Linked DNA regions of Daphnia pulex. Each later gene encodes a partner of the first gene's protein in a complex. Links are inferred from orthologs where the notes say so. Each region holds a gene or a part of one and is shown on either strand. Other genes may lie near its edges.

What was found.
Region 2: the proteins of integrator complex subunit 9-like (region 1) and integrator complex subunit 11-like are in contact, whole or in part, in a cryo-EM structure (PDB 7SN8), measured with the Drosophila melanogaster proteins. The link is inferred for Daphnia pulex from reciprocal best matches to the Drosophila melanogaster genes IntS9 and IntS11. Residues at the interface, in NP_648838.3 of Drosophila melanogaster: Glu128, Tyr198, Asp199, Glu200, Lys201, His230, Asp333, Ser334, Ala337, Tyr338, Asn340, Ile341, Glu344, Gln351, Val354, Tyr355, Leu356, Pro357, Asp358, Asp359, Pro360, Arg509, Lys510, Leu511, Asp512, Arg513, Ile514, Tyr515, Ile516, Ser518; in NP_651721.1 of Drosophila melanogaster: His94, Lys97, Ala98, Pro135, Thr137, His139, Gln140, Ser141, Glu149, Lys151, Lys274, Thr277, Tyr278, Lys280, Met281, Phe282, Ile283, Thr284, Trp285, Phe294, Val295, His296, Val450, Lys451, Ile452, Pro453, Val454, Asp455, Ala456, Ser457.

Annotation. Positions count from the first base shown.
Region 1 is NC_060027.1:3,455,707-3,465,008, forward strand, and holds integrator complex subunit 9-like, read right to left. Parts: upstream 4,172-9,302; 5' UTR 4,034-4,171; coding exon 4,025-4,033; intron 3,956-4,024; coding exon 3,761-3,955; intron 3,697-3,760; coding exon 3,494-3,696; intron 3,434-3,493; coding exon 3,232-3,433; exon of another isoform or gene 3,170-3,231; coding exon 3,036-3,169; exon of another isoform or gene 2,969-3,035; coding exon 2,856-2,968; intron 2,792-2,855; exon of another isoform or gene 2,783-2,791; coding exon 2,602-2,782; intron 2,534-2,601; coding exon 2,094-2,533; intron 2,018-2,093; coding exon 1,827-2,017; intron 1,763-1,826; coding exon 1,595-1,762; intron 1,525-1,594; coding exon 1,408-1,524; 3' UTR 1,370-1,407; downstream 1-1,369. Other genes in the region: mitochondrial fission regulator 1-like, read right to left, coding at 54-304, 366-583, 648-773. UniProt on the Drosophila melanogaster protein: Component of the integrator complex, a multiprotein complex that terminates RNA polymerase II (Pol II) transcription in the promoter-proximal region of genes.
Region 2 is NC_060018.1:12,408,275-12,417,576, forward strand, and holds integrator complex subunit 11-like, read right to left. Parts: upstream 4,816-9,302; 5' UTR 4,696-4,815; exon of another isoform or gene 4,633-4,695; 5' UTR 4,616-4,632; coding exon 4,490-4,615; intron 4,421-4,489; coding exon 4,238-4,420; intron 4,172-4,237; coding exon 4,055-4,171; intron 3,994-4,054; coding exon 3,895-3,993; intron 3,839-3,894; coding exon 3,545-3,838; intron 3,484-3,544; coding exon 3,265-3,483; intron 3,187-3,264; coding exon 3,073-3,186; intron 3,008-3,072; coding exon 2,690-3,007; intron 2,628-2,689; coding exon 2,485-2,627; intron 2,419-2,484; coding exon 2,292-2,418; intron 2,231-2,291; coding exon 2,177-2,230; 3' UTR 2,075-2,176; downstream 1-2,074. Other genes in the region: succinate dehydrogenase [ubiquinone] iron-sulfur subunit, mitochondrial-like, read right to left, coding at 1-34; tRNA pseudouridine synthase-like 1, read left to right, coding at 330-376, 446-595, 658-1,375; dual specificity protein phosphatase 19-like, read left to right, coding at 1,344-1,949; interferon-inducible double-stranded RNA-dependent protein kinase activator A homolog, read right to left, coding at 8,929-9,008, 9,069-9,268. UniProt on the Drosophila melanogaster protein: RNA endonuclease component of the integrator complex, a multiprotein complex that terminates RNA polymerase II (Pol II) transcription in the promoter-proximal region of genes.

The DNA.
Region 1 (9,302 bases):
ACAAAAGAAGAAATTTATGCAAGTGCTGCAAGAAAATCAGCGAAAAAGATTACCTGACGTTCCTGGTTTATTATTTGTCGCAACGTTAACTATTTTCGCAATCTGTTCTCTCAAACGAGATAGTTCATCCTCCAGAGCCGAAATTTTGGTCATGGCCACTGTGTCAATTGTGCTTTGAGAGCTGTACAATGAATCGGCACATACACTTGGTGGAGATGCTGATCGAACAGAAGGAACATCGTCTTCATATGGAATGATTTCCGAATCAGCAATGGATGATGATGCTTTGGGTTTCATTTTTTTACTGGATAAAATAAGAAGTAAGTTTAAAACAATATTGAAATGCTGCACGATTAATAACTTACTTCCAAAAGTCAATTTTGCCATTGTTGTCTAAAGTTGGAATGGCTGCTAAGCCTTCATCAACTGTGGATTGTGCATCCCATTCTAAACTAGATGAATATTCTGAGTTCACAATTGTAAAGTGTATGCGAGGAGACGGTTTGATGGGAATCCTGCAAGCTAATTTTCGTATTAAGCTCCTCTGATTTCCAGCATCTCCCTTATGAAATATGTAAAGTACCTTCGGGCAAAAAAAAAATTAAATATTTTTTTCTATAAAAGTGAAAGGTTGCTTCAACACTTACTTGGTCTGAGGCATTTACCAACACAGAATCAATTCTAAGTTGCTGAGCAATGAGCCACGCAAAATCTTGTAAATCTATACGAAGCTCCTGAAGTACATCGATTACCGTCCTCATTAACTGATTCATTGTTATGACTTTTTTAATATGGCAATCGAAAGAAATTTAACGAATAAGAAAGTCACCCATATGACCAGGAAATCAACAATAAAGAAAAAAACGCTTCAACTTGGGGGTTTCAACTTAGGGATAAAACAAAGCGAGCGAAGATTTAACTCAGCAATTCTCCTCAAATTGAGGCTACATACTTCAAAACAAAGTCAATATTAGTTCGATGACGAGAGCAACTACTGTCGTCCCTAGTAATATGGGTTAGTCTAGTAAACTGAATGATATGCAAATGAAATTCACAGAAATTACAATGCAACAGACGATATAAAATGCAGCATTGCCATTTCACAACGTGATAACTTTGGAATATTTTTAAAAAAGAAAAATTATAATCTATAGACGTCATTTCCCGAATAGAATTCCGCGTGATTCCTTTACAAATTTTAGTATTTTTAAATTAAAATTCTAGGGACGTCGTTAAGCTCAATGCACTCCAAATTTAACCCAGTTCTTTCGTCAGAATTTCTTTGTTCACACGGGTAAACCGTCGATACATCTTTCACGACCGTCACTTTCTACAATTATTTATCCTGCTATTTATTTTTATGCTTGGGTTTATAAGAGAAAAATTCGAATGTATTTATGGTGATGTTCACAAACAAGGTAGACATTGTAGCAAAATATCCCTCAAAGTTCTCCGTAGCGCTTCATCATGGCAGTAAACATGAGTGTTGGAACCTTCCAGTTGAATCACAGTGTCCTCTCTTGGCTAAAAGACAAAATTGGAAAGACAAGTTATTACGACTCTTGAAATGACAAAATGATATACGGGGTAGTACCAAGTGAATGACGACGCCTCGAGGAGTGTCTTCGACCCGAGCATCTAGCAAACCATGTTGACTGAGCAAATGCAACAGTTGAGTTGTGTCAACAGAGCCCCAAGGATGGCGAGGCAGCATTCTCTCCGACGCACTGTACAATGTGCCTCCTTCCTCTTCGTTTAATACCTAGATTTGAAAATAGTAAAAAGCTATGAGACACTGTCACAAGTTAGGAGAACAAAGGACTCACTTTCAGAGTAAATTTATTGTCACGAGCATCCAATTTTCCAGTCAGAGTAGAAGCTGAAAGGCCCGTTTTAAATTGGATGGGTTCGAGACGAGAGGCCAGGGCCGGATCAAGATGCACTTTTTCCTGCTTCCTCTTAATTGGTAACTGTAACACCTGGTAGGACTTCATACCCAATGCTGGTGGATCCAATTCTAAAAAAAAAGAAAGAATAAGGTTAACTGACTGGCCAACTAGATCCAGTTCAACAGGAATCGATCGAAGACTTACCCTGAATAACCAAGTCTGATCTTAAGGGAGCCGACACTGGCGGGTGGAGGTAAACGTCTGGAACGAGTAAGTTTCCTGGCTTGAGATCGCGTATCAGTTTATTGGCTTGAGTGAAGCTCAAACTCGTGTCAATGGGACAGTGAACGATTTTCATGGTCAGTGGTTGATAGGGGGCCAGCGCTTCCAGGTAAGGGAAATCGGGTTCAACGAAGACGATACTGTGGTTGCTATGACTGCCCCATAACTCTATGAAGTGAACTACATTGCCAAAACGAAGGGAAGGATGACCGCAAAATACGACACATGGCTGTCTGTACTCGTTGGTGAATCCTTCGGCATGCAGGCTTGGGAAGTGTTTCAGTCGACCATTTTTGATGAGATGGGCGTGAGGAAATGGTTCTTCTGGGAGATAAACTTTGCTCTGCTTGCCTGAAGATAACCTATATGAAATGAGGATGATAAGTTGACTAAACATTTTCGGAAAAATAATAAATGTGACAAGCCGAACCATTCAGCGAAGATGTTGGAATAAGCCAAGGAAGTTTCGGCCACGGGAGAGAAGAAAAACAGCGGAATCTGACTAAGACCAATATTGTCTAAATGAACTGAGAGACATTCGAACAGATCGTAAAGAAGGCCGGAAGGGTGACATGGGACTAGGCAAGATCCGCCCGATCGTAACGTGGATGCTGCAAAAGGTTTAAGGAAACATTGTTAGTTTTTTTCTAATGTAATTTAATAGAATTTTACTATTTGAATTACCAACTGCCATGCAGAATTCGCCCAACATTGAATCTGGATTGGCCACGGGGGTCTGAGTCAACGCTGTCAAGATCAAGAGATCGGCATTTCTAAGGGCAACTTGATCCATCGGCCTGTATATGGAAAAAATGGTATAAAATTAATTTGTTAAAAAAGTAACACTAATTAAGCTTATAGAACCTTGGGTGGGTCGTGAGAGTAGATGAAGCGCTCACGTACGCAATCTTCTCATAGCCGGAATGAATGATCCAATTGCAACTACCAAGGGAATATCCAGAACTGACGGCCATCACAGTTAAAGCACCACAGATATCCTAAAAGTTGTCGGTTAATATTGTTTCATAAGAATTTTTTAAAAATCCGAAAAAGGACGTACAATTTTTTCGTTGAAGCCAACCATGCGAACTTTTGCCAGGGCTGCATTGATGGCTTTTGTGGAATAGACTTTCTTCCAATCATTTGGTCTCAGAGCCCCACTGAGAGGAGGAGGAAGAGACTGGAGTACTTGCTTCCATCTGTTTGCTCGCTGATTTTTGGGAGTCCTTTCCAAGTAGTTGACCAGTTCTTCCATGTAGAGCCTACGACAAAGAATACAATATAGTCTCAATATTGTGTGACAACAATTGCAGGTTGCATACCTTCCAATCTGCAAGGTGGGTTCAGTTGCATATACCCTCCCTTTAAAGCCAGTTTCTTCAGTGATGAATGGCAGGGCCAGCATGCAGGCATGATTCGATAGCAAGATGGTATCCACATCAGAGATGTCAAAAATGTCTGACTGAGGGGGCAGTATCTCTATTGGGCCATCCACCAACACTCGATTTTCACATTCTTTCAGTTCCTATACAGGATAAATGAACATTTGAAATGACACGAAGATAGAGAAGAGATCAAATCTAACTCACTCCATCAAGAAGTGCAGCATCCTGTGTGTCTCTCGGGATCCAGTTTGGTAAATTTGAGAGCCTTTTGCTGGCAACGAGAGGCAGAGGTAGAAAATGAAGGGCCGAGTTGATATCCAGCCCACAATCGAGCATCAGCGAAACGCCTTTGAAATTCAAGATGTTGCAGGGTTTATTTGGGTTGGCGCCCAGACTGTACTATGTAAACAGAAACTGTGTTTATCAGACCGCTCCATTTCGGTGAAAGGAAAATATTAAAATGCTTACGATTTTCATGTTGTGGGCGCGTTTTATCTGAAAAGTGACAAGAAAGAATTTTTATTTCAAACTCGGTATATGACAGACAGATCCAGACTTGTTTGTTTGTCCGGTTCGTACTTACTACACGAGCTGCTAGCAGACTAACATTTGAAAACCCAATGCAGCGTTGTCATTTTTCAACTTGAAAAGATAGGTTCATTTTATTTTATTATTTTATTTTTTTAAATAAGAGCGCCGGAACGCGAAAGAAATAAATCTAGAATAAAAATTGAAATCTGAATCACATATTCGCTTTTGAGAATGTGTATTGAATAACGCCATCGGATACGCAACAAACAAGCGAAACAAAAGAAGCTACAAAGTTACACACATTTTGTCAATGATTAAGAACGAAAGAATATTATATCACTCTATACAGTTTTGTTGGTTGTCAAAAAAAAAAAATTCGTCCATTTCGTCGATTGTGTTGCAAGACACGCCCTTATCAGTTCTCCGTCCAGTAGGGTGTTCAACTAAATCTTGGTGCAACCAAGAAAAAGGAACTTTCCAAAAAATCTAACCGGACTGGTGAATGATAAGGCCAAGTCATTGAACCATTTTCTCCACAGCGAGAGATGATACGTGATGCTCCTTCAGCTTCCGGTGTCGAAATGCCTCCTATATATATTTGATGCCCCTGCAACAACAGAAGAAAAAAAACACACACACAATAAAAAGAATCCAATAAGCAAGACCCAAGCAAGAAAATGAAGAAAACAACATGGTCGATGATCGGCTTGGCCTCTGTGTTTGGTCGGGAGTCTGCTGTGTGTCTGTGTGAGAAGAGAGAAATAAGAGCAGACACGGTTACTAAGGGGGAGAGAAAGGGAAATGAAATACGATGGGGGGGAACACAACACACACATCACAAATGGGTGTCGGAGACGACCAACGACTATACCCAAAGAGGGGAGAGCATTTTTCCTCTGTATATATATATATATACGTGAGCAAAAAGGAGAGAGTGAACGGTCTTTTACAAAATGGGAAACATCTGCCCGGCTGCTGGCCCTTTTCCCATATCAAAAAGGAAAGAAAAGAATGAAAAAGAGAAGCTTTTGTGTGTGTGTTTGATATATACCATGGGGTAGGTGGTAGTAGTAGTACAGTAGTGTAGTTGGGAAATCAAAAGAGCTCAGGGGCCTCCCCCCTTATTCACCAGAAATGAAAAAAGAGAAAAAAATGTCGATACTCTGCTGGGTCGGTTGAGTGATCTATCGAGAGAAGAAGAAAAATGTGTGTTCCAACACACGATAGCTGCTGCTGCTAAAGGCTCTTACAAGAAATTGAAGCCGGAGCAATGTGAGATGTGTCTCTCAACACTCGAAGAGAGAAAGAAGAGGAAGCAGCAGCAGCTTGCTTACGACGTGTTTGTTGTGTGTGACCTCGTCTGACCGTTTTAACCATCAACGGATAGAAGGGAGGGGAGAGAGAGAGTTCAAAGTCTTTTTTTTTCTATTCAAAATATATATAATTTTTCTTCCCCCCCCCCTCTCGCTGTGTGTTAAGAATTTATTTTACAGCCGGTTCAAAAGGTTATAAGCGATAATGCAGCTGGCGCTCGGGAGTGTCTAGGCAACAACATTGGGCATGTCTGCCTCTGTCTGAGCGTGTGTGGCGTATAGATTAGATTAAATGGACGGAGCAAGGGGGTGGGGATGCAATTGAATCATTTGAAGGACGTGGGAGAAAATTGCTCCACTTCTTTTTTTCAAAAATGTAAACGTCAAATAAAAATAAAAAAGCCTACGGATATTCAAACGAGTTTGGCCAGAGTAAATCTAGAAAACAAAATGACGCGTCCGGTTTCTTTAAACTTAAACGAATCAAAGTTGGCAACCGCGAGATAACACACACACACCGAAAGAAAATAAGGTCGTTATTACACACACAAAACGGATGTTGCACTGACGGTCTGAGAATTAACTAACGAAATTTGGAAAAGGAAAAAGCTAAAATGGAAAAGAAAATGATTTGTTATCGGATGCTGCACGGAGGGAGTGAGAGAAGGGAATTAAACCAATTAGCAGTTGGCATTTTCCGACTAACGTCGTATCCGGTCTCTCCCCCCCCCCCCATCATCCCGCACACAAATAAAAATCACAGAAAATAAATAACAAATAAAACATTTAAAAAATATTACCATAAATATGCTAACGTTGAAAAATGATGTGGTGACGACGACGATATGTGAGTTGAGGAGTCACATCATCAAACTAAACGAACTGTCGACGTTGTCTCTCCATCTACGACTACGGCCACCACCTCCTTGCCCACCCCACCTAACTGTCTGCTTCCCCCCTCCTGACTGAGCGACGGCAGATGGCGTCGGCGTCGAACCCATACTCTGAAAAACCGCCGGCCAAACACACACGCACACACACAACACAACTGCACACACTAGATGAGAGAAAACGTGAAGCCATCTTTATACCATGTGAGTGTGTACGGGCGCTTTTACTCCACCTTCTCGTCGACTCATCGATCGGGAGCACATCCCAACCCCCCCTTCCTTTTGCGACGGTGGCGCTGACGTCGTGCGACGCTTAGGATCACTCCCATTCTCTTGGCTCTCCCCGTGATGATGATTCTCGGCATTGTTTTTCTTTTTCAACCCAACGGATTTTCAAAGTTTTTTCCTTTTAAAATATTGGCAACATTAATGCAAACCCCATCAAAATAATGTGGAAACGGAAATGAATTCTGAAATGATAGAAATCGACACACTCGCCGCGAAGGCGAAATACCACGAGATTGTACGACACGCCGAGCCTTTCCTATATAATAAGATGGCCGCCCTTTCTCTCTCCTAATGGTGTTTCAAAATTTGTTTTGGCAAAATGAAATTGTGTTCAACTAACCTTTAGATCTGCCAATCAAACCCTCAAAACCGATGACGACACGACAGAAAACTAGAAAAGTAAAAAATTGAAAAGAAAAAGAAATTGGACGAGAGGAAATTGGAGACGTCCGACGAGGACGTCGACTGGCCGATGACTGCGATCCGGCGACACGCAGTGAAGAAACTTTAATACCGCCCCATCTCTCTCCTTCTGTCTTTCGTCTCTCCCTATATGTATCCTCCTCTATTTTGTACAGGGCCAGCAGATGTGTGTGTAGGGGAGGAGGATGCTGTACAACCCCCCTTTATTTTCTCCCACCCACCCCCAAAAGATAAACTTAATCTTCTAGTCGATAACGGGCATAAACGCTGTGCTCTTCTTCGACATCTTCTTCTTCTTCTGGGTTGTATGACCCACCCAAAAATGTGTGAGAATTTTTCCCTTTTATCACTCTCGAGTGTAATTTATCGAAAAATGGCCGCCACACATTTTCACACACACACTGAGAAAAAAAGGGATTTAATGAAAAAAGTTCATTTCTTATCAGATGCACATGCGCAGCGAGGGGGGGGGGAGAAATTAAACAATTAGAATATGTGCGGAATTTTCGGTGGATAGGGGGGAACCGTTGTCGATCTGTTGCCTATTAGGAGCAGGGCGTAGGGCGTATTTGGTACTAGTTTTAATGAATTCACCATGTTCCATGCTTTTTATTATTATACGATCCAGCAAACAAACAATTTTGATGAAATGCTTACATCTATACCGACAAGTGGTGCTGGGGGCTGCAGCTCGACACATTTTTCCTTGACAACCAAGAAATGCGATAAAAACAGACACACAATTTCTTATATTTCTTTATCATAAACGGGAGACAAATAAAATACCCTTGGTCTCTCTACTAGGAGTTATCACACATGTTCACTCCCCCTCTCTTGAATGTCATTTAAAAAACAATTGAATAACAAGAAAATTCAAATGAGATTTTCCCAACTTGTTGAAGGATTTCCAAAAATCAACTTGAGCACGTTGTATAACTATACAATTTCCAGCAAAGATGTGCAAAGTGACAATTTGAAGAAAACTTTGATGTACTTGTGTGTGAGTCTCGTATATGTTTTAACGTTCAGTTGGTGTATAGGGTGTGTGTATGTGTGTGTGTGAGAGCTGTGAAAAATGGCTGTGCACCAGTGCAACGCTCAGCCATTTGATCCCGGCGACCGAGAGGAAAAAGAAACGGGGCGAGGCCGCCGCCGCACACACTCGGTGGTGGTTGGTGATAACTGATAAGCGGGAGAGATCCATCCCTCCCGACATTTTCAAGAACATACACACAACATATTTTTCTTTTTTTCTTCTTCAGTCGAGAGTCCATTAAAAAATACACACCAACTCTCTCACCCATATTTCGAATGCGTTCAAATCTATTTCACGAACGAAAAAGAAGAAGAAGCTTGTGTAGGCGCGGCTTAGGCAAATGAGCCGAAAGAAACAGCTGGCTCTTTTTTATAAAAAAAACCTGGCGAAATAAAAACAAACTTTAAAGCCTATATATCGAAATAAAAAAGTAAAATATATTTTATAATATCAGTCATGCAAGCAGGTGACGTCACCCCCCTTTTTTTCCGGACCGTGTAGCGTGCACAGACGCTGATTTATAGCCCCAACATTTGACTGGGACAGCAGGACACACAAGTATACAGGAGTCGGATACATAATAAATCCATTATGCCCATGCAATTCCCCAAACGCTATTAAATATCCATAAAATGTTGAGAGAGATCCGCGTGTGCGTGCGTGCGTCATTATCTCGAATTGAATTCCATCGATTGCGATATCGAAGAGAAGAAATTCATCAAGTGTTGACCAACAACTTGAACGGAGGAGGAGGGCCCAGATTTGATCCGCCGTCAAGAGGGGCGGGCCTTCAATAATCTGAGAAAAATACATCAAGTATTATTACACAATACAACCGCCGAGTAGTTTTCGTCGAGTGGAATTTTTTCCCATTTTTCTTTTCTCCCTTTTCATTGCGATCGATGAAACGTTCAACCCACAGTGTGCTGCACATGCTGCTGCTGCTGCGGCCATTGTTGTTGCCGTCTGAACTATGGCGCGCATATAATCCCGGAGTGGAAGCTGCTGCTGCTGGCTGGCTGGGAACGGATCGTCGACGACATAAAAGCTCTTCTTGTATAGAGAAAAAGGAGCAGAAGGAGAAACGTCGATACGAACCAGGAGCTATATAGACTCTACTAGCTAGCTGGATAGCACAGCAGCAGCAGCAGCATGTGGTTTCAATTAGCCGCTCTTCTCCCGGTCCAAGTCGGCCGTGCTCTGGATATTATATAATCCCGGGCTATATTATACTCTCTCCTATACACTTACCCCTATATTTATAC
Region 2 (9,302 bases), on another chromosome or scaffold:
ATAATCCAACAGCCTTGCTGCCTATGTTTTCCATGTTTAGGAAAAGTAGGAATTACAAAATCAAAACGAATAATACCAACACTATTTTTCCCAGCTGTACTACTAGCAGCTGATTGAGAACAAGACCGTATATCGTCGTCGGATCGGAAATTTTGTGATTTTCCCTTTTTCCTTTTTCAACTCGGCGTTGCATTTCTTCTATATTCATTATTTTCAAAATCTGGCAACTAAAGTGCATCGTCTGCTAAGAAATAATCACAAATCACAATGTGATGTGATTCCGTCCGTCTATTTTTTATTTTTGCAAAGTTTACAGAGCGAAATTTCTAATGCAGCGTTATCTCATTAAATTCTCGTATTCGGGAACGCGCTTTCGGTATGTTAATATAATCATAGAATTATATGTGACCATATGTAAAAAAATAACGAATCTTACATTTCTCAGGGGGTTACAAAGACAGCCTGGAGAAATATACAACGATGAAATTCCGTACCGAGCTTCAATTCAGACAATTTTGGAAAAAGGAATTTTAAGATTCCTTCAACACAAAAAGTCAGCTACCTCCTTTGAACCTGGTGTCCAGTTCTCAAGCCGGTAAAAATATCCTGTAATCTTCGCTTATAGTAATATGAAGATTAATTTCCTGTATTGAACAGTACAGATCAAGGAGTGCATTCATTTTGCAATTTAGCTCATGTTGACTTGGAGCTTCTGAAGAATGGTAGTTGCATCCCACCACGCACCCTCCAGAAAACTTTGCATGTGTTCTGTCAAAAATCTGACATCAATCTTACAGTGAATAATGTGGAAGCTGTGCCATCAACTTTTCATGCAAGATATTCAAGTTATTCGAGACACTACCTTTACAGAATTGGTGTAACCCCAGAGGATGTTAAGTGTCATCCTGTCATTGAATGGAGAAAGTGCTACTTCATAGAGAAACCTTTTTGTTTGGACAAAGCTATTGAAGTCTGCAAACTATTTGAAGGAACTAAAGATTTCGCGTCATTCTGTCACGGCATCAGCGGGAGACCACCGGGGTACCCTACTGTTCGAACAATAGATGCTTTCCATATCAAACCTGGAAGGCCTTTGTTTGATCCTTTATACGATCCTTTGTATTCGGGCATTGATTTTTATGATTTCCACATCAAATCTCGGTCGTTCATGTACAGACAAGTGCGTCGGATGGTGGCTCTGGTGGTGGCTGTAGCTAATGGTCATATCAACCTTGACGAAGCCCGTCAATTATTTGATCATCCAGGACAGTGGAATCCGAAAGCTATGACAGCTCCACCGTACGGATTGTATCTTCTAGACGTTGGCTACAAGATTCCTCAAGATGAGCAGCCTCAACGAATTATTGAAAACTAAGGGACAAAATTTGCGCCGAGTGACTACGCGAGTGACTTTACCGAGTGGACGAGTATTTCATGAAGGCGACGGAGTTGCAGTGGAGAGTGAACAATCTTACGGTTTTGTCATCGATAACACACCAGATCTACAGGTTGGCCAAGTAGAGGAAGGCCTTTTTGTCGCTTCTCAAGATGTTGCCAATGATGCAGAATTGATTAAACAGTATGGGATCACCCACGTACTGAACGTTGCCGGAGTTCCATCTCAGAAATTACTTGACCTTCACTATCTCGATGTTCACATTTTGGACTTGCCCGAAGAACCGCTAAGTTGTCATTTTGCCAAGTGTTTTGAGTTTATAGATGAAGCGCTTAAAAACGGTCGTGTGCTTGTCCATTGTAATGCTGGTGTTTCTCGTTCTGTTTCAATCGTGGTCGCCTTCCTAATGTGTCGTCGACAAAAGAGTCTCTGTGAGGCTATAAGTCAAGTCAAAGCTGCCAGACCAAGAGCTCAACCTAATGCGGGATTTGTAAAACAGTTGAAGATGTACGAGTCTAGTATTTTGAACAATGATTCAAAACCTAACAGTTAGAGTGAAACCTTCTTAATACACGAATTGCCACATGCCAATTGTCTACAATTTCCTAAAATTCGGGTAGTTGGGATCCACAAGTATGTGAACATTAAGGAAATAATTTACACTCGGACAATCGGAAATATTCGTGAAAGTGATATTTAAAAAATTAATCATTTTTTTATCAATACATATTGAGGGTATTCATTTCATGAAAGGTAATTCACAGAGATTACGCGACCTTATCAAACAATGACTTGTCGTAGTGAAGACATAATCCACGTTGCTAAATCTTCGTCCTAGAAAATAATAGAAACTCAGTAACTTTATTAGGTTTTGTTTTTAAAAACAACAATTAACCTGCAAGGCCCAGGAGATCATCATGGATTTGCGATCTTCTTTGTCTGTCGTCTCCATTTTAATACTAACCGACTCCAAATTGAGTAACCCCTCGTCAGACGGTTTAACCGGGTAGTTAGTATTTTGTCTGTAAATTTAAACAAAAGATGCTCAAGTTATATTATCTTTAAAAAAAAGTATTGAGAATTCTTACGAATTCAAAATAAGCTGTATCTGATCCATAGCTCTAATAGCGGTTCCGGGTAATCTTAGTTGGATACAGGAAGTGAATCGGATAGAATGCCGGTTTAAACCTAGTTCACCGAATGCCTGCTCGGGTTCCATAAGCTTGAGAACCTATGGCCAAAACAATGAATAAAAATGTAGGCAGAAAGTATAGCTAAATCAAGTACACTTACGTTGTCTTTCATGACGAGCACACCATGCATACGGCAAGGTCGTTTCGGGTCTGGTGCGCCAACCGTATCATAGAGAGCCATTTCTTTTTTCAGCAATGAAAGTGATACATCGACAGGAACAACAGGTTTGCATGGAATGTACGCCGACTCCCCGTTTGCCGGCATGTAACAGTCGATACCGTACTCTTGTTGAATTTTCTGTTTCAAGAACTCCATTTTTACGCCCTCTCCGTGAACAAGGAGCACATTTTGAGGCTCGCAATATTGGATTAATTGCATGATACCCTTGGCGTCGGCATGAGCGCTAAATGACATGTACTGATAACAAATGAATGGGATTAATTGACAGATATTTGGCGTATTAGTGAATCCTAATAACTCACCTGAACAGACATTTTCACTTCGATAACTTGTCTGTTTTCAATTTCAACTTTTTTAGCACCACTGAGAACTTTGGCACCAACCGTTCCAGAGACACAGTAACCAGGCATAATTAACTACGTGGGGAAAAAAGGATTCCAGTTAGTTGAAATAATTGAAAATATACATTTGTATTATAATTTATCTCTTCCTACCATGTTATTTTCATTGGGTGCCCATTTTTTGAAGAGTTGCAAAGAAAGACCTGCGTGAAGCATCCCAGGAGTGGCGAAAACGACCATTGGACCAGGTGTATCGGCGTAACTTTTATCGAAAGGACGGATGTGTTTGAACTCGAACATGTTTCTTTGAACAAAAGTCTTGCGAATCTTTTGATTGGTCCAGGTGATGAACATTTTGTAGTAATTGTTGGCCTATGAAAAGGGAAAAAAGTTTAAGAGGATTCAAAAGATTAACTATTTCAATCGAAGTTACCTTTTCAGTGAGACCCACAGCAAAGTAGATTGGCGCTTTAAGATTCATTCGTTCCCAATAAGTTTCCAAAAGAATACAAAGTTCTTGAGCTCGACCAAGTGCAAACACGGGAATGAGAACTTTGCCTCCTCTGTCTACACAATCATGTACTTTCTTTAAGAAATCCCGCTCTCGACAGCGTTTAGAGTCACGGATAGTTGTAGCATAAGTGGATTCCGATATAAGTATGTTGGGTCGGCATTTGTCGATCCAGGCGGCACCCAAGTGTCGATCCGGAGTCATGTTATAATCTCCCTAATAGATATATTTTACAGGTATGCACAGAACCAAGATTTCCAATATTAACTTACAGTGTACACCACAGATTGGTTGCCTACTTTGACGTGAAACATGGCTGCACCCAACACATGACCAGCATAGTAAGCTTTTATTTCAATTTCTGAGTCTACCTATAACAAAAAAAAATTAATCAAGATATGAAAACCCTGGCTGAAGTAAATAATGGTATACTTGAACAGTTTGATGCAGAGTGACAGCAATAACCTTTTTCATGCAATCCTTGATGTGAGCTGAAGTGAAAAAATTGGTTTCACCCTTTCTCTCTACAGCCACTTTCCTCATGTCCTCCTGTTTGGCAAGTATAAATTATGCTGTAACATAATACCAATTTGTGAAATGTAAAAAGAATCTTACCAAAAGGATAGGAGCAATAGCCTTTGTTGGATGAGTCATGTAAATTGGGCCATTATATCCAACCATTTCAGTCATAAATGGTAAAGCCCCACAATGATCTAGATGGAAATGGGATATGATGACACAATCTAGGGATTCTGTCAAGTTTCCGTCAGCAATGTATGAAAAGTCTGGAAACCGTCGCTACAGAATAAAAGATTTGGGTAAGGACAAACAAAACTTTGATGTTTGAACAACCAAAACTAAACTTACCTCATCATTGTACCCCATATGCATGCCACAATCTAACATGATATTCTTTCCTCCCATTTGTAGTAAAATACAACTTCTCCCCACATCTTGTCCAGCCCCAAGTGGTGTTACTTTGATATCTGTCATAGCTGAATTCAATTGGCCTTTTTCAAACGACCAAAGCCTTAATTAATAGTTTACAATTGTCCTTCAAATTTTCCACAAACCTGATTCAAATTTATATCATCAACATTCAACAGCACTGCGTGAAAAAATTTCTTTTCTAAATGAAAATTGGAAATAAATATTGCCGGTTACTCTGTTGCCATATTTCAAGCTTTGATCACTTTTGGGGAAAATTCGGATTTTGGAATTCGGAATCGGAAGTCGAAAACTCGAAATTGAAAATGAAGACAAGCCAATTTTCTAATCTTATCCCATCTAATTAATGGAGCATTTATTAATGAGCGTCTAAATTGAGTTTAATACAACGTAACTCCCTTTTTCAATCGCAAATACTGCGCATACAGATACTAACTTACTAAGCCAGTTTATAAGCCACTAAAGGTCGATCCTGCGAGGAATCTATTCTAAAATCCTTTGTTCCGTAGGTGGGGCAACACGATTATTAAATTCATTTTGTTATGAAAACGACGGGGAATTCAAAAAATAATAAAAAAATGTTAATAAAAAAAATTTGAACGTGCCAGGGATCGAACCTGGAATCTCCTGCTCCGTAGGCAGGCGCCTTATCCATTGGGCCACACGTCCTGTACGCAAACGAGTATTTCTTAAAAGTACATAAAGATTAAAGTTCTGGCCTACCCAGGTACACAAAAACTTTTTAGTTTTTACTGGGTGGATTAAAAATTAAATTAGGGAACGACATTTGTTTGTGAATTTAGGTATGAAAGAACTTATGGAATTTGATCAATTGAGTGAGATGACGCATTTTGGTTTCGACGCTAGCAAACACGGGCGGGGTTATTTGAGGATATTGCAGATTGCTTAAATAATTTATCTACCAATATAGATTTCCCTGATGGATCACTGACGTTCATCCACCAAATTATTCATATCTGTGGTGAATCCATCACTGCAGCCAAATAAGGCAAATGTGTCCAAATTTGTTATGCCTCCGAATTCAATTATGGACAATTTTGGTCCACAACGAACTTCACTGCGCTTCACTGGCAGACGCTGACAGAGGTCTGACGGCCATCAAATATTTGCTGATTGATTTTTGAAATCTTCGAATAGAAAATTTGCTTCTTGTCTTGAAACCACCACAAACAGCGCGATGCACAATAGAGGGGACATGGGACCGATTGGATTCACATATTATTTCAGCGCTAATATACTATGCTATCCATCTGTGGAAGAAAGTTTAAGCTAAAAAATCCTATGATTTGGTTGAAATTTAAAATGTTACTCGCTTAAGTTAAAAAAAATATATTATTATTTTTTAGTTTAAGAAAAAAAAAACAGCAATCGTCGATCGTCGATTAGTAACAAAATAGTTCTTCACTGATGGACACACCCCGGTGAGCATTGGCTTCCGTGACACTTGGTCAGCAACATTTCCAGTCCCGTCACCAGTTTCATGATTGGACTGTCCACGGCGAAAGAGAGGATCCGCTCGACATCTTTCAAGGCGGGAAAGAGAAGCGTCTTCTGGTTTTGATTCCGATCGATTGGGTGATGGAACGCTGCGTCGAAGAGCCGGCCAACATCAGTCGACGTGCAGAGTTGCGCCTGAGCCAACACGCAAGTGGGTTGTTCCGCCGCCAATCGAGACGGGCGATCAAACAGGTCAGCGATGGAATCGCTCCAATCCAGGGGGGTGGCGTCGCCGAAATCTCTCCTCCAGGCCGCGCTCTTCACGTTTCTCACCATCAATTCCGCACCGTGAATCATCTGAGCGATTCCGCAGGGCAGGCGATAATGTCCCAGCATCAAGACGTGATCCATCAGAAACAGGAGATGGAGCTGAGCGGCGCCATTTGCACTTTCCGTTTTCAAGGAGATGCGATTTAGTTGACGATCCAGTTGTGCCGACTTGTCGATATCACCTTCAGACACGACGAGGGCGACGCTGGGCACCAACTGAGATCCTTCCGCGGAATAATCATCGCGAAGAATAATCACTCCTTTGTCCTCGGCACACGTGACGTGTGAATGAGTTTCGTCCAAAAACGGTTTCACGTTCTGTTCCAGCCATCGCCGCAAGCGTCGCGATAAGACAACGGCTTGGCTACGGTCCACTTCGGCAGGCATGTTGAGCGAAGTGACGGGGAAACGGCGAAGCAGTTCGCAAACGGCCGGGACCGTCCATTTCAGCAGCCACGACCAAATACTGGGCCACTCGAGACAAAGTTGTTTCCAGCTCATCGCCTTCCACGGAGAGAGCATCAACGTCCAGCATGTGTCGTCTCATTTGGAGAGCTTCCATCAGGTCGATCCAATCTTGATTGGCCGGCAAGTCTTCGACGCTCGCGTCCACGTTGAAATTATGCCCGTACACGTTGCCGAACCAGCGGGAATCCCACGGAAGCTCAGAGGCATGTTCCAGCAGCTGGGAGCGGAGAACGTCTCCCATCAGGGCGTCGAGTGTTCCAGCTGACATCTTCTTGGCAAGGCAGTCTTTTCTCCAGTCAATGTCTTTACCGCTGGCCGTCAGATAGACGAAAAGGACGGCGTCAGGGTGGACATCCGCATCGGCCAGTTGCTGAATTAAAACGGAAGCTTTCCTTATGTATAAGTTAATCAACTTGCAACAACATGAAAAACACCGCTATATACACAACAAGATTTTATAATGGTCTTTAAAGATAACTATTATTAAATAACATATAAGATTTAACTTACCGTAACTGACAGGATCACGATTGTGATCCATTTCATTGACATTTATTGGGATGTATCTGCTTGTCGAACCTAGATTAGCGGATGTTGGCAAGGGTATGAATGACGCAATATCTTCATGATAACAGATACAGAAACATCCTCATCAACGCTAAAGCTTTCCTTGGGAACCCGTGAGAACCCAAAAGAGATAAGGAGCCTTGGCTATTCTGTATTAAATCGAATCGCCATCTAATTTTACCATAATCGTGGGGTTCGTGGAAGAGATAGCAGGATTTCTACTCAATGGTCATGCAGTACAGATCAAGTAATAAAGTACATGAAGGATGTCGTGCCGAGTCCTTGAAGAGCAATCATTGCTGTGTCGTAATTCGTAAACCATGGTCAAGTGTGTTGCAACGTTGGTTTACTGCGCATTCGCAGGTTACTTTCCCCATATTATACCGAGTGAACCTCACCAAAATCAAAATCGTTTTTTCCCTATGAATAGTAAATATCTTGGCTTACGTGACGAATGGCGCGGCTGTGTCGAAAAAGACGATTCCCTTCCTACATCGCTGATTAGGATCAGTGTGACCTATTTTACAATTATGTAAGGATGAGCAAACAACTGAAGAACTTTGTCCAGACGGACAGCGGGACAGGTCTATGAGTCTGAAAGCCAGGCTTGTTTCATGATTCAAAGAGTTAAATATTGCAGGAGGAAGCGCTTACGTGAGAAAAACATTTGGTATTCTAATTACTTTGTTAAACAATGACCACAAAAATCTTGTATCTTAAAAGAATCACCACAAGGAAACGCCCTTTGCCCAAGACTATACGGAAGATTCCCCATCGAAAATGAATGCTTTGCTTTTAGTGAATGTGAACAAGGCACACCCACCAAAGTAAACTGCCCGCCAGGTAAACAACGTTGTGCCAAAATTCAAACGAGACCTAACTTTAAAAAAAATCCTTTAGAAGGTTTAATTTTCGACATTGACCAAGCTGTTTGCGAATTTCCCGATGTGGCTAATCGTACCGAATGTTCAGGTGACTAAAATATTCAAATTAGTTTAAATTTCCTTTAAAACCACTTTTAAAATGCAAGCTGAAAAGATCTTGGACTTCACATGCCCCCACGGATCTGATGTTCAATCCGACGAAGTTGTACTGCAACTTGGTGATCACGAACGTTTTCCAAAAGTGAGAATTTGTCTAGTTACCCTCCTGGAATTCCATTACTAAATTCAACAATAAAAAACAGAAGGGAGATTGTTGGCATTTCTTCGTGTGCTTGAAGAGTGGTCGACCTCGATTAGGAGGATGTCCACTTGGTACAATCTACAACCCTGATGATACTTTCTTTTGTGATAAAACCGAAAACGTCCAAGAATAGAATGGTAAGCACCGTTAATATTTTACATACGTACAGCAAAATTACAAGGCCACGAGTCCATATTTCAATTTAAACAATCAACATGAATGTTGCTTTACCTCTACTACAGCGAAAATGTGTAGGCCCTAAATGCAAGAACTGAACGGGACAAATTTTTACAAGTTCATCGTTTTCCATATCCAACCCCACTTTGAAATCACGTTTCTCGGAAAAGCTATTACAACTCTTCGTCTTCCAGAATTTGGAGCATTTTTTGGGCAGCGTCATTTTTGGCAGCCTTCTTTGACTTTCCCTCACCTGATACAAAAATAAGGTGTTTTCCATAAATGTCGTGAATAAAATTTCCAATGATGATACCTTCTGTGACACGATCACTAAGCTTGCAAGTCATAAAATATGTTTTGGAGTGGGAAGGACCTGAAGTTCGAACAACCCTGTATTCAGGAAGAGTGCTGTGTCTGGTGAAGCGCCATTCTGAGAGAACCCCAGATGGATTTAGAGTTGGTTCTGTTGGTGGTTTGGGTATGTCTTCCTTTAGTGTTCCCAATTTTTCCAGCCTGCTCAAGATAAAAGTCTATAAAAGAGGCCCGT